3 linked regions of the Canis lupus familiaris genome follow. The protein of the gene in region 2 interacts with the protein of the main gene of each other region in a biochemical or structural test. Links are inferred from orthologs where the notes say so. Each region holds a gene or a part of one and is shown on either strand. Other genes may lie near its edges.

Evidence for each region.
Region 1: the proteins of GNAZ (region 2) and LRRK1 form a complex in vitro, tested with the Homo sapiens proteins (2 studies listed by BioGRID and IntAct, with this or other methods). The link is inferred for Canis lupus familiaris from reciprocal best matches to the Homo sapiens genes GNAZ and LRRK1.
Region 3: the proteins of GNAZ (region 2) and RGS20 form a complex in vitro, tested with the Homo sapiens proteins (2 studies listed by BioGRID, with this or other methods). The link is inferred for Canis lupus familiaris from reciprocal best matches to the Homo sapiens genes GNAZ and RGS20.

The regions. Positions count from the first base shown.
Region 1 is NC_049224.1:40,400,189-40,403,910, forward strand, and holds part of LRRK1 (leucine-rich repeat serine/threonine-protein kinase 1), read right to left. Parts: intron 2,576-3,722; coding exon 2,411-2,575; intron 1,866-2,410; coding exon 1,693-1,865; intron 680-1,692; coding exon 559-679; intron 275-558; coding exon 115-274; intron 1-114.
Region 2 is NC_049247.1:27,875,057-27,878,656, reverse strand, and holds the start of GNAZ (guanine nucleotide-binding protein G(z) subunit alpha), read right to left. Parts: upstream 2,589-3,600; 5' UTR 2,536-2,588; coding exon 1,813-2,535; intron 1-1,812. UniProt on the Homo sapiens protein: Guanine nucleotide-binding proteins (G proteins) are involved as modulators or transducers in various transmembrane signaling systems.
Region 3 is NC_049250.1:5,822,514-5,826,335, reverse strand, and holds the start of RGS20 (regulator of G-protein signaling 20), read right to left. Parts: upstream 2,795-3,822; 5' UTR 2,522-2,794; coding exon 2,357-2,521; intron 1-2,356. UniProt on the Homo sapiens protein: Inhibits signal transduction by increasing the GTPase activity of G protein alpha subunits thereby driving them into their inactive GDP-bound form.

The sequences.
Region 1 (3,722 bases), on a different chromosome or scaffold from region 2:
GTGCTCTGACAGTCATTCGCAGACAGGTGCAGAGCAGTGAAAAAGGTGAGTCTCCCTTTCTGGAGGCCCCATGCTTGTGTCCCGTCCACCTGCCCTCCTGGCCTGCCCGCTCACCCGATTGCAGGTCCTCGTAGTCTTTGATGTCATTGTCAGGCATCTGCTCCACCAGCTGCTCCAGCTGCCTGTCTGTGAGATACTGCACGTCGTCGCTCAGGCTACGGCGCTGCTGCTCTGCCAGCACAGCCTCCTGGAGGCTCAGGTAGCTCCTGGGGATCTGGGGTGCAGAGGGGGCAGGCTGGGCCCCTCAGGTCCTGAGGTGTGCCCGGCCCACCCAACCCTGCTTGCTGCCCTCGGAGGCTTGAGTGTGTGAACTTCCCTTCTCGCTGCCCCATCCCCAGCCTTCCCCACCCCTGCCCCAGAAAACTGCTCGCATGGGGGACTGTTGAGCCTAAGCCCGCAGCACACGTGTTTGACAATGGGGGGGCTGGGAAGTTTAGATTCCTGGCGAATAGGGAACAGCCCCTCTGGCTTCAGTGGGATCCTGCCTACGGTACCCACCAGCCTCCCCGCAAGTCTCTGGCAGCCGATGGTGCTGCCCACATCCTTCATGTTGCACGTGACATGGAAAATCAGCTGCCGTAGCCCCTCCTGGCCTTCCAGACTCTTACAGGAGAGCTCACTGTGAGTGCAAAACAGAACGTGATCACTCATCACACCTCTTCTCACTGACAAGTTCTGCAGCATCTGTGTCCCAAAATTTCATCCCTAAGGCTGGCAAGTTAAAAGAACCCATGAAGGGTGAACACAGAGAAATGTATTAAGCTCTCAGTGCAAAGCTCTGTGCTGGGAGCGATGTAGTATGTGTCCTGAGGAGGAGGAAAGTGAGGACCAAAGGTGCCAGGTGACACCCCCCACCCCCCCAAGGACACAAGCTGGAAGGGAGCACACTTGGGGTGGACCTGGTTCTGGCCCAGGGCCAGTGCCCCTATTTTATCGCCGGCCTCAGGGTGTCCTCAAGGGCACACGAAGAATTCCTGAAATTCTGCATCAGGACCAGCCAGATCCTGCATTCTGGGGCAGGTGGAGGTGTCCCCAGGTTGACCCTGCACCAAGGTCTGCAGCACTCCACCCAGGGGGAGTGGGGTGAAGGAACCTGAGAGCCACCAGCACAGCAACTCACACTTCATTCCTACGAGAGAATGCTTCCTTAACTTGCTGGGCCTGTTCCATCGCCTGTGAAGTGGGCACAAGGACTCCCATAACCCCACAGGGCTGTCGTGAGTCAAGAGAGAAGCAACAAGCCCAGGGCTCTGGTCCCACTGGCAGTGGCCGGGACCGCTCAGACCCAGTGTGAGGACCAGGACCACACCTGGGTCTGCGATTGGTCAGAGATCAGCAAACGTGACGAGTGGCAGGCACACGCATTTCTATCTCCTGGTCCCATCAGGGCCATGCATGCTCAGCATTGGCTCCAGCGGGGAGGGGACCCCGAGGGAAGCATGGAGAGGGTGTGCCCAGGCTCTGCCCTGCCTGCCCACTAGAGGCAGCTTGCCCTCCCCGGGGTGGTCTGGTCTGCTCTGGCTCAGGAGCCCTCTGTAGGCAGATCCCGGTGGCCCCCGGCAGATGGACAGGTGAAGGAGCAGCAGCCTCAGCCACAGCCAGGCACCAGGCAAGAGAGAGCAGGACACTCACTGCAAGTGTTTGAAGGTGATGTCTGGGAAGCCTGTGGCCCGGGACCCGGATGGTGAGCGGCAGAGCGCCAGCACATAGGCGCGCAGCGTTGCAATTCTCTCCACTCGGAATTTGGTTTCGATTAAGTCCAGGTGTGTTCCGACCACCAGCACCACAGCATTTGGGGCCTTGGCCTGCCAGAGAGAACCCCACAGCTGAGCATCGGCTTCCTTTGCTCCAAGAAGAGACTGGGACATAGCTCCCGGGCACAGAGGCGAGCCGACCCTCGGCACCACCCAGGACTGTGCCCCACACTCCGCTCTGTAAGCCTCGAGGGCATGTTATGCACCGAGGGGTTGCATGAGGCACCCCAGAAGAGCTGGATTTCTGATCCCCTCAGCCTCTATGTCAGCTTCCTGTGGCTGTGGCCTGCATCCAGGCTCTTGCCACCTTGACTTGTGAGACGGGAGCTCTGTCTTCCTTTTGCGTCCAAGAGTCGGGGGTGGGGGCTCTTAAATTTAAGAGTGCTGATAATCACCTGGTCAAGGAGGGTTTGAAGCGCTTCACTGCGACCTGATTCTGGGTCCTCTGAAAGCCTGCCAAGATGCCAAGCGTTTCTCCCTGACCATTCCTTTTATTTCCGCAGTCAAGGGGATGCTTCAGAGCAGCGGCAGACCCCCTCACCCTGCTCCCCGTGATGTTCCGAGGCCCGAGAGCTGCAGGGCTGGTGCCTCCTCACCTCAATGTTGAGCAGCCAAAACTGGAGGCTGGCCACGGCCTCCTCTCCCAGTGCCAGGTTCCAGACCACCACGTACAGGGCCTTGTCCGTGAAGAAGCACTGGTTGACAGTGGCCATGCTGGCGGGGCCTCCGATGTCCCAGACGGTGAATTCCACAGAATCCACCTGCTTGTGCAACAAGAACAGTGACAGGAGGCAGTTAGGGACCAAGGCTATAGCCAAACACGTTGAGATGGCTCAGGCACAGCACGGGAAGGGCTTTCCTCATCCTGCCATTTGTCTCAGGAATCAAGTAACCCAAGAGAAGGACTTCTGGAAGCTCCTATCTACCGCCAACAGAGCAGGGGGCCCGGCCCTGGATGGCTGGCTCCTGTGGGCTGGGGTGTTTGTGTCCAACTGTGTCTGCAGAACGCTGGGGACACTGTTCTGCCTCTGTCTCTGCTGCAGATGGTTCCCTACTGGAGGGGACACCCAGGTGCTGACGTCAGCACTCACCCAAGGCTTAAACTCCATCGGTGCCTGCGAGGGTGAGGCCGAGGAGATGGGCCTCTGAACTTGCGTAGGCTGGGAGGCGGCGCCCACCAAGGATGATGGGCAGCTGCCCTGATGTGGGAATCAAACAACAGATGTGCTGTTGTGCTGCCAGGAAAGGCTGTGTAAACGGTGGTTTCTCTATTGTCCTATGAGGTCAGAGTCTGGCCCCAGCAACTAGGACTGCAGTTTCCTGCAGCAAAGAATCGTTTGCACGACATTGCATTTTGGCCTCCAAGAGGAGGCCAAGACAAGGCGTGCTGACCGGCTTTTGCAAAGGCATGAAAATGGACAGCTGTTCTGAACTGGCTGAGGGCCCAGACACACGGGCAGTGACACAGCTCAGCATTCGAAAGGTTAGGAGGGGAAATTATAATGCTGGCCAAATGGAAGTGGATGCCAAAGGACAGGAAAAATGGAAACAGCAATTCACCTCTCTGACCTCGGAAAGCATTTGAAACAGACCAGTTGAAAGAAAGTGATACTAAGTCACTACTCAAAAAAACCCAAAAACCCAAAACCAAAAAAATAGGAGAGAATCCAGAGATTATGGGTGACTTTAGAGACGCTCTGGACAGGAGTTAGTGAGATTCACTCCTGGGGTGTTCAGGGGTGGTGGTGATGGTACTGCTGGTATTAAGTAACCAATCGTTCTGGCGTTACAAGGCATTACAAGGCATTACAGGGCAGGACCCTGCTCTCTAGAGGACAGTTTAAATGCCTAATGACCTGAACTGGAATGCCTGATTTGGAAAGTGATTTTGTGTAAAAGACTTTTGCA
Region 2 (3,600 bases):
CAAGGCAGGCCTGCCCCGTGGATGCAGTGTCCTTAGCCTAGGCCCCTGACACCGTCACTGCCTGGCACAGTCCTGGAGAGACCCCCGGGTGCACACAGGACAGAGGGGGAGCCCTGCCTCCTGTCTTCACGATCACCTGCAGCTGTTTCTTTCCCCTTCTCCAAGAGGCTAGATTTCCTTGAATACCTTGAAAGACACAGACCTTCTCTCCATCCAGAAAAATGCTCAGGCACCCAGCATGGTGGCCGCAGCCCAAGGCCGTCTGTATACTTTCTTGGGGCCGCAGCCCAATTAAGACTCCCAACTGAACCCAAAGAACAAAGCTACCACCTGCCTTAAAAAAGACTGAATGAAGCCCCTTCCTTGCCATTGCCCTGGTCCCCTAGGCCCTGGAGGCTAACCCCCCACCCCCATTTCCCAGCACAGTGGGTCCCCCACCAGGACCATCACCACCCCTTCCCCCTGCCAGACCACTGCCCCCCTGAGCTGCTGGCACCCACAGCTCCATACCATGTATGGCTATTTGTGGACCCGTTTGCCCCCACACCTCCTGCCCCCAGCGTCAAAGGCCTCAAGGGCAGATTGCGAGTCTCTGTTCAGTGCTCCTGCCTGGCACAAAATGTCCTCTGTAGGACAGCCTGGGCCACCCCCCACCCCATCCGGCTGCTCAGCCTCCACCACCACTCCTGGGCACCCAAAGCCCCTGCGGTGCCTTGTGCACTGGGCTTTCTGCCTTGGTTGCACCTGCATCATGCTGCCCACCCTCTCCCCCTCGAGCCCCCACTGGCTCAGCACCAACCCTGGGTGCTCCTGGGTACCTCCCTGCACTGTGTCCCCTCTATGGGGGCTCCATCCACCCCCTTCCTTTGAGCGCCCTTCTCCACGCTGAGAACCACAGTGTTCAGGCTGAGGGCCTGAAAGAACCCCCATACCCACCCGACCCCTGGGGATTAAGCCTCAGAAACAGTTCTTAACCCTGTTGCTGCCAGACTCTAAGGATCCCAAAGGGGCTGTGGGGCCGTGGCTGCAGTTCCCAGCACCCATAACAGTGCCTGTAATCATAGGGGTTTTGTGTATTTCCTGGATTGCTACATAGACCAGCAACCGGATGCCTGGCCTGGGCCTTGTCTCCATTCATGTCCTGCCGAGCTGTCAACCTCCCTCCCAGCCTCCAGGGCTATACCCCCTCACACCTGACTGCACCCCAAACTCACCCAGAGCAGAGCCCCTCATAGGGCCCAGCTCCCCCTTCTTCCTCCCCAGTGAGCCTTCCCTGCGGGCCGGGCACCCCAGGGCCGCTTTTCTGGGCTCCAAGCAACATGGTCTTGGGGCCAAGGAGTAGGTCCCACTTGGCAGAGGGATGGCTCTCCACGCCCTGGGCATTTCGGGCATGGGTGTGGGCTGCTCGTGGCACTGAGGCAGGGGCCACCTGGGTACCTGGGGTCTATGAGCATCCTGAGGGTAGTGCTGTCAGCAGCTGGGTGAGGACATCCCTACCTGGTGGGGCCCGAGGGTGTGGTGGTCACTCAGAGGGATGCAGAGACCCCGAGGGCCCGTGAGGGACCCTCAGGTCAGAGTGGGACCTGTCCGTGCTAGCGGCCCCCAAGAGAGGCGCCACAGCAGACGGTACCCCGAGGCCCTCCGGTGCCCGAGACACGCCCCCCCCCCACGCTCCACGCTGTGCTCCCAGAGACGGCCCCTGGCCGGAGCCCCGTGCCTCAGCGTCGCCTGCCCTGCCCACCCCCTCAAGCCCACCACTTCCCAGGAGCCAGCGAGGCGGGAACAGGCAGGGGCAAAGCCCGGCACACTCACCGTCTGGTTGTCCTCGTAGAGCTTCAGGTCGTAGCCACTAAGCTCCACACAGAAGATGATGGCCGTGACGCCCTCGAAACAGTGGATCCATTTCTTGCGCTCCGACCTCTGCCCGCCCACGTCCACCATCTTGAAGGTCAGCTCCTTGAAGGTGAACTTGTTCTCCACGATGCCCGTGGTCATGTCCCGGGAGCGCAGAATGTCCTCGACGGTGGGGATGTAGTCGGGCGCGGCGATGCGCTCCAGGTCGTTCAGGTAGTAGGCGGCGTTGTCCTCCAGGTGGTACTCGCTGGAGCGGCCGAAGCAGGCCTGCGCCCCGGGGTCGGCCCACAGCCGCCGCATGACGCCCAGCAGCTCGGGGGTGATCTCGCCCTTGCTCTCGGCAGGGCCGGTGAGCGCGAACAGCTGGACGGCGTCGTAGGCGCGGTCCGGGTTGTGGAAGTCGATCTTGAGGGCGGCCAGGGCGCGGATGATGCGGGTCAGCGAGTCGATGGCGTTGTAGATGATCAGGGGCTTGTACTCCTTGCAGGCCTCCAGGTTGAAGCCGCCGCTGTGGATGATCTTCATCTGCTTCACGATGGTGCTCTTGCCCGAGTTGCTGGTGCCCAGCAGGAGCAGTTTGATCTCGCGGCGCTGCCGCTGGCTCTCCGAGCGCAGATGGCGGTCGATCCTCCGGGACCGCCGCGCCGCCTCTTTCTCCTCTGAGCTTTGCCGACATCCCATGGTCCGGCAGCGGCGGGCCCAGATGCAGAGCACGGGACGGGGCGCCGCTCCCTGTCGCCGCCGAGCGGGGGGGACGCCGAGACGCGGGCCGGTGCGGGGCAGACGGAGCCCTCGGAGCGCTCAGCGCGGGCGGCGGGGCGAGGCCACGCCACGCTGCGGCCCCTGCCCCAGCAGCTCTGCTCCAGCCGGCATGGCGATCGCCCGGGGCGAGGAGGCGGCCGAGCCTCCCTAGTGACTCTCCACCTGCCCGGGCCACTGTGGGGCCCGATCTGCCGCCGTCATGCCCTGTCCTCCCGACGGTGGGAAGCCGGACTCCAGCGTCTGCCGAGGCTGCTGCCGTCTGGCCGCCGCTTGCCGGGCCGGTGCCGCGCGCGCTCCCTGCGGGCCCCCCGCCTTGGGCATCCGCCCTTCACCTGCCAACACAGAGAAGAGGGTGAGCCTCCCCCCGCCGCAGGCTGGGTGGGAAAGAGGGAAACCGGGCCTCCTCGGGAAGCAGCCTGGGGGACGGTGAAGCACACCCGCTCCCCTCCCTGGGACTCCGCTGAGTTGCGCCCCACTCCGCGCCTCACACCCTGCCTGGCCAGCCAGTGTGCCTGAAGCCTGGTACTTGAGGAAAGGGTGCCCAGAGCCACACTGGGACGTTAGCCTTAGGGTTTCTGGAGCGAGGGAGGGAGTCTGGGGCCCTGCCGCCCTTCCCTCCCCACCTGCATCCGGCCAACCTCACCCTCCCGCAGCCTCAGTCTCTGGGTCTGTTGTTCTTTAGGATTCCATACAGAGAACCTGCTCTGATGTCCTCCCCTCACCACCACCTCCCTCACCCTCTCCTGTGCTGCCGGGGGTGTACCCACATGTGTCACAGCATCAATGGGCCTTGGCCCCTCCTTGGTTTACAGTGGGGTCCGACACCAGGGTAACTGGATGATCTCCCCTCACCACCTCTCATGGGAGCTGGGTCACTCCTTCGCTCTCTCAGGGCAGGACATTCACCAGGAGGAGGCTGGCGAGGCCTGGCAGTAAACAGACAGGCAGGGAGCAGAGCAAGGCAGAGGTCTCGGGCGGGGAACA
Region 3 (3,822 bases), on a different chromosome or scaffold from region 2:
ATTTTATAAGTCCATGATGCATTTTTAATTAATTTCTGTATAATGTATGAGGCTTAGGTTGCAGATTTTTGAAGGTTTTATCACTGGCCTCTAGACATCTAAACACATTCCATCCCATGCTCTCCCTGTCTACTTTTCCATATTTCTTTTTTTTAAAGATTTTATTTATTTATTCATGAGAGACACACAGAGAGAGAGAGAGGCAGAGACACAGGCAGAGGGAGAAGCAGGCTCCATGCAGGGAGCCTGACGTGGGACTCAATCCTGGGTCTCCAGGATCATGCCCTGGGCTGAAGGCAGCCCTAAATCACTGAGCCACCGGGCTGCCCACTTTTCCATATTTCTAAGACATTATTTCATGTCTACTTTAAATTTCATCTCTTTAACTCTTTCATTAGGCAATTTTCAGTTGTTTTACTCTATATTGGTCATATGCCATCCCTAACATTTTACTGCCTTACTGATCAAAAGAATGTAGTTACATAGATATCCTCTACTGTTGACATGAGTCATGGTGATAATACGATAACTTAATAAATGTTGATATGTTTGTCTGTTTTCCAATGTATTGTAAGTCTGCCAAGGAGAAGGAGCATATCTTTTTCTTTCTCAAAACCTAACCCAGGTTTTACACATAGTAAGGATGCAATGCTGTTTGTAGAATTAAAATGGATTGAGTTCTATCATCCTCATATATGCTAGAAGAGGGACATGTTCACCTATATGTGTATCTATGTTCAGATGCAACATAAGATTTTTTGAGGAGGCAAAACTGAGTGGGAAGGCCAGTAGCATTTCAACTGGATCACTCCTGACTACTCATACCTGCTGCTGTACTGGCTGGAACCCGTTTATCTGGGTGAATGAGGTCAGTATCACAGGTAGGATTGTCCAGTACTGGAAGTGTATTTGATTCCAGGATGCTGTGGGAAGATGTACTGCTGATTCATAAATACTTTTCCAATTTATCTGCCTATGATTCTTTTTTTTTTTTAATTTTTATTTATTTATGATAGTCACAGAGAGAGAGAGAGAGAGGCAGAGACACAGGCAGAGGGAGAAGCAGGCTCCATGCACCGGGAGCCCGACGTGGGATTCGATCCCGGGTCTCCAGGATCGCGCCCTGGGCCAAAGGCAGGCGCTAAACCACTGCGCCACCCAGGGATCCCTCTGCCTATGATTCTGTTTAAAGAGTACCCCTCAATACAGTTAGAACTTTGAAATTATATGTGTGCACACACATAAAATATACCCAAGTTGTTGTTGCTGTTTCCGCAGAGTAACCTCCAAATTCTACCTTTCAGAAATCTCTTTTGCATAGGTTCCCTACATTTAGGTTTAGATGCCCATTAATTAAGGACTTCCAGCCAGTATATCTATTTCATTTTAGCTTCCTAAAGACCTAGTGCTCAGGTGATGATAGGAGCTGTGAATATCACATATTATTTGTTCACATATGTCTGAAAGGTCAAAAGTGAAGGTCAGTACATTTCTACATTTTTCTTCTTCCTGTGCCAATTGGTTAAAATAAGATATCCAATAATAAATCATGTTTATTGTCAGGATATGAGCCATGGCACAAGGACGGATCAGTTTTTTGGTGTTAAAGTATTTGGATAGGTTTGCTGTAGTATGATTGCAGCATTTAATTCTGAGCTCTGATTATTTGTAGGCAGTAACATGGCCCATCCCCCTTTCTCTGAATAACCTTTTAAGAGATGGTTCTATTCATAGTTAAGAGGATTTACAGACTTAAACTGCAAAGATACACACAACACCGAGCAGGCAAATTGTCACTCTTTGGGGAAATAATGTTACCTATTGATAGAAATTCATGCTTAAAAAATTCACCATAGGAAACTATGAATTCAGGAAAAAATCCCTTAGCTTCTTAATGTTCTTATGTTCCTGTATTATTTTATCAATTTTTTCTTGAGCAATTTTTGTAGAAAGCAGTCTATAGTTTTTCTTTCAATACTGTACGAGAAATAAATTTTATTTTAGAGAAAAATATCCAAACTACAATAGCCACAAAATATCAACAGTCATAAAAATCTATGGCTAGATTTCCTTTTTTAAAAAACATTACCCCTCCTGAAACAAACAAACAAACAAACAAACAATAAATAAGCATTTGTCTTCGTAAAGGGAAGCTGTTTAGGTTGGAGAAAACTGGACAGATCTGGTAATTATTATCAAAGTTCTAGTTTTCCTCTTGGGGTTAGCTTGAAAACATTTTGATAAACTATTAGTAAGATAGAGCAATAGTATGAAAGCTTGCTTATGGTTTTAAATTCTTTCCAGATAAAAATTTTCCTTGTCAAGAAAGGATCAGGGGTTGTGGAGATTGTCTTACCTTGACATCATGCACAGCCTTGGTGCTACCTTCATTTTCCATGGTTTGGTGAATGTTTGCTTTATATCCCTCTGCCCTACGCAGGGGCAGAAATTGCTTCCACATAGATGGCCTAGAGAAATGTTCCTGGAGGCACTCTTGGTTGTCTTGGGGAAGACTGGGCATGTTTTTACAATAAAGTTCTAAATGAGTCCTGCAGCCTGTTTTTAACAGCAGTAGCCCAGGATCCAGTCTACTTCTCTTCGTCTGGTGGATGCTGTGCCATCTCTCAGCCAGCTGGGGATCTCTCTGCTTCACTATCTGAAGCAACAGGATTATCTGTTTTGGGGATCAGCAGTTTATCCACTAGTGTTCTATTCCAGGTAGAGCTTCTGGTTTTGAATGTCTAGATATGTTATGACTGCCCTCTGCAGGCAGCAATGTGTTCCTAATTCAAATTTAATTCCTAAATCAAAATGGAAAGAAATGGTGTAAGTGATATATTGCTTAGGATATAATGATAAAGGGAATAGACTATTTTGCGAAATTCTGCATTAGTCATGTGTGATAGGGACTAGTATTTGATCATCTTGGACCACGCAATGGAGAGGCAGATGGTCTGCCTAATCTATGTAGTTTTCTTAAAAGGTCATTTTAGCAGCAGTTAGCTTTGCGGTTAGAAATATTTGCTAAACTCACACCCAAACTTAAGCCCAAGGATTATTACACCTAAATTGATATGATGTAGGATTAAAATGATTTTTCTTATGAAGTAACTAGTCATCTAGTGATTAAACCAAAAGTTGGCTTCGAATATTGTGCTTCACATTTGTAAAGTGCCCTATAAATAAAGATTATTACACAGAGTGCAAAGAGTAGAACATAATATCTTTCTCTCAAGGAATATCTAATATTCAAGTAACCATTGCTGGGTCTGGTGCACAGGGGTAAAGACCCCAGATGTATATTACTTGGGTTATGAACTGGAGAAATTTCCTTTTGTAAAATGACCCCGGGCCTCCAGAATTGGTATGCAAAACAAACACAGTCACAGTCCCTATCAACATTTCAGCTTCTTTTTTTCCTTTTCTTTCAGCTTCCTTTTCTTTTTATTCTTTTTTTTTTTGTGAGAAATTGATAGATTGATTGTAAAATTCATATGGAACTGTAAGGGACCCAGACTATCCAAAACAATCTCATAAAAAGGAGAACAAAGTTGGAGGATTCACATTTCTCAATTTAAAAACTTATTATAAGGGGATGCTTGGGTGGCTCAGTGGTTGAGCGTCTGCCTTTGGCTTAGGTTGTGATTCCAGGGTTCCAGGATCGAGTCCCGCATCAGGTTCTCCACAGGGATCCTGCTTCTCCCTCTGTGTCTCTGCCTCTCTCTCATGAATAAATAAAAAAAACTAATTATAAAGCCACAGTAATTAATAGTGTGGTACTCACATAAAAATAGACCTATAGATCAACAGAATAGAGAGTCC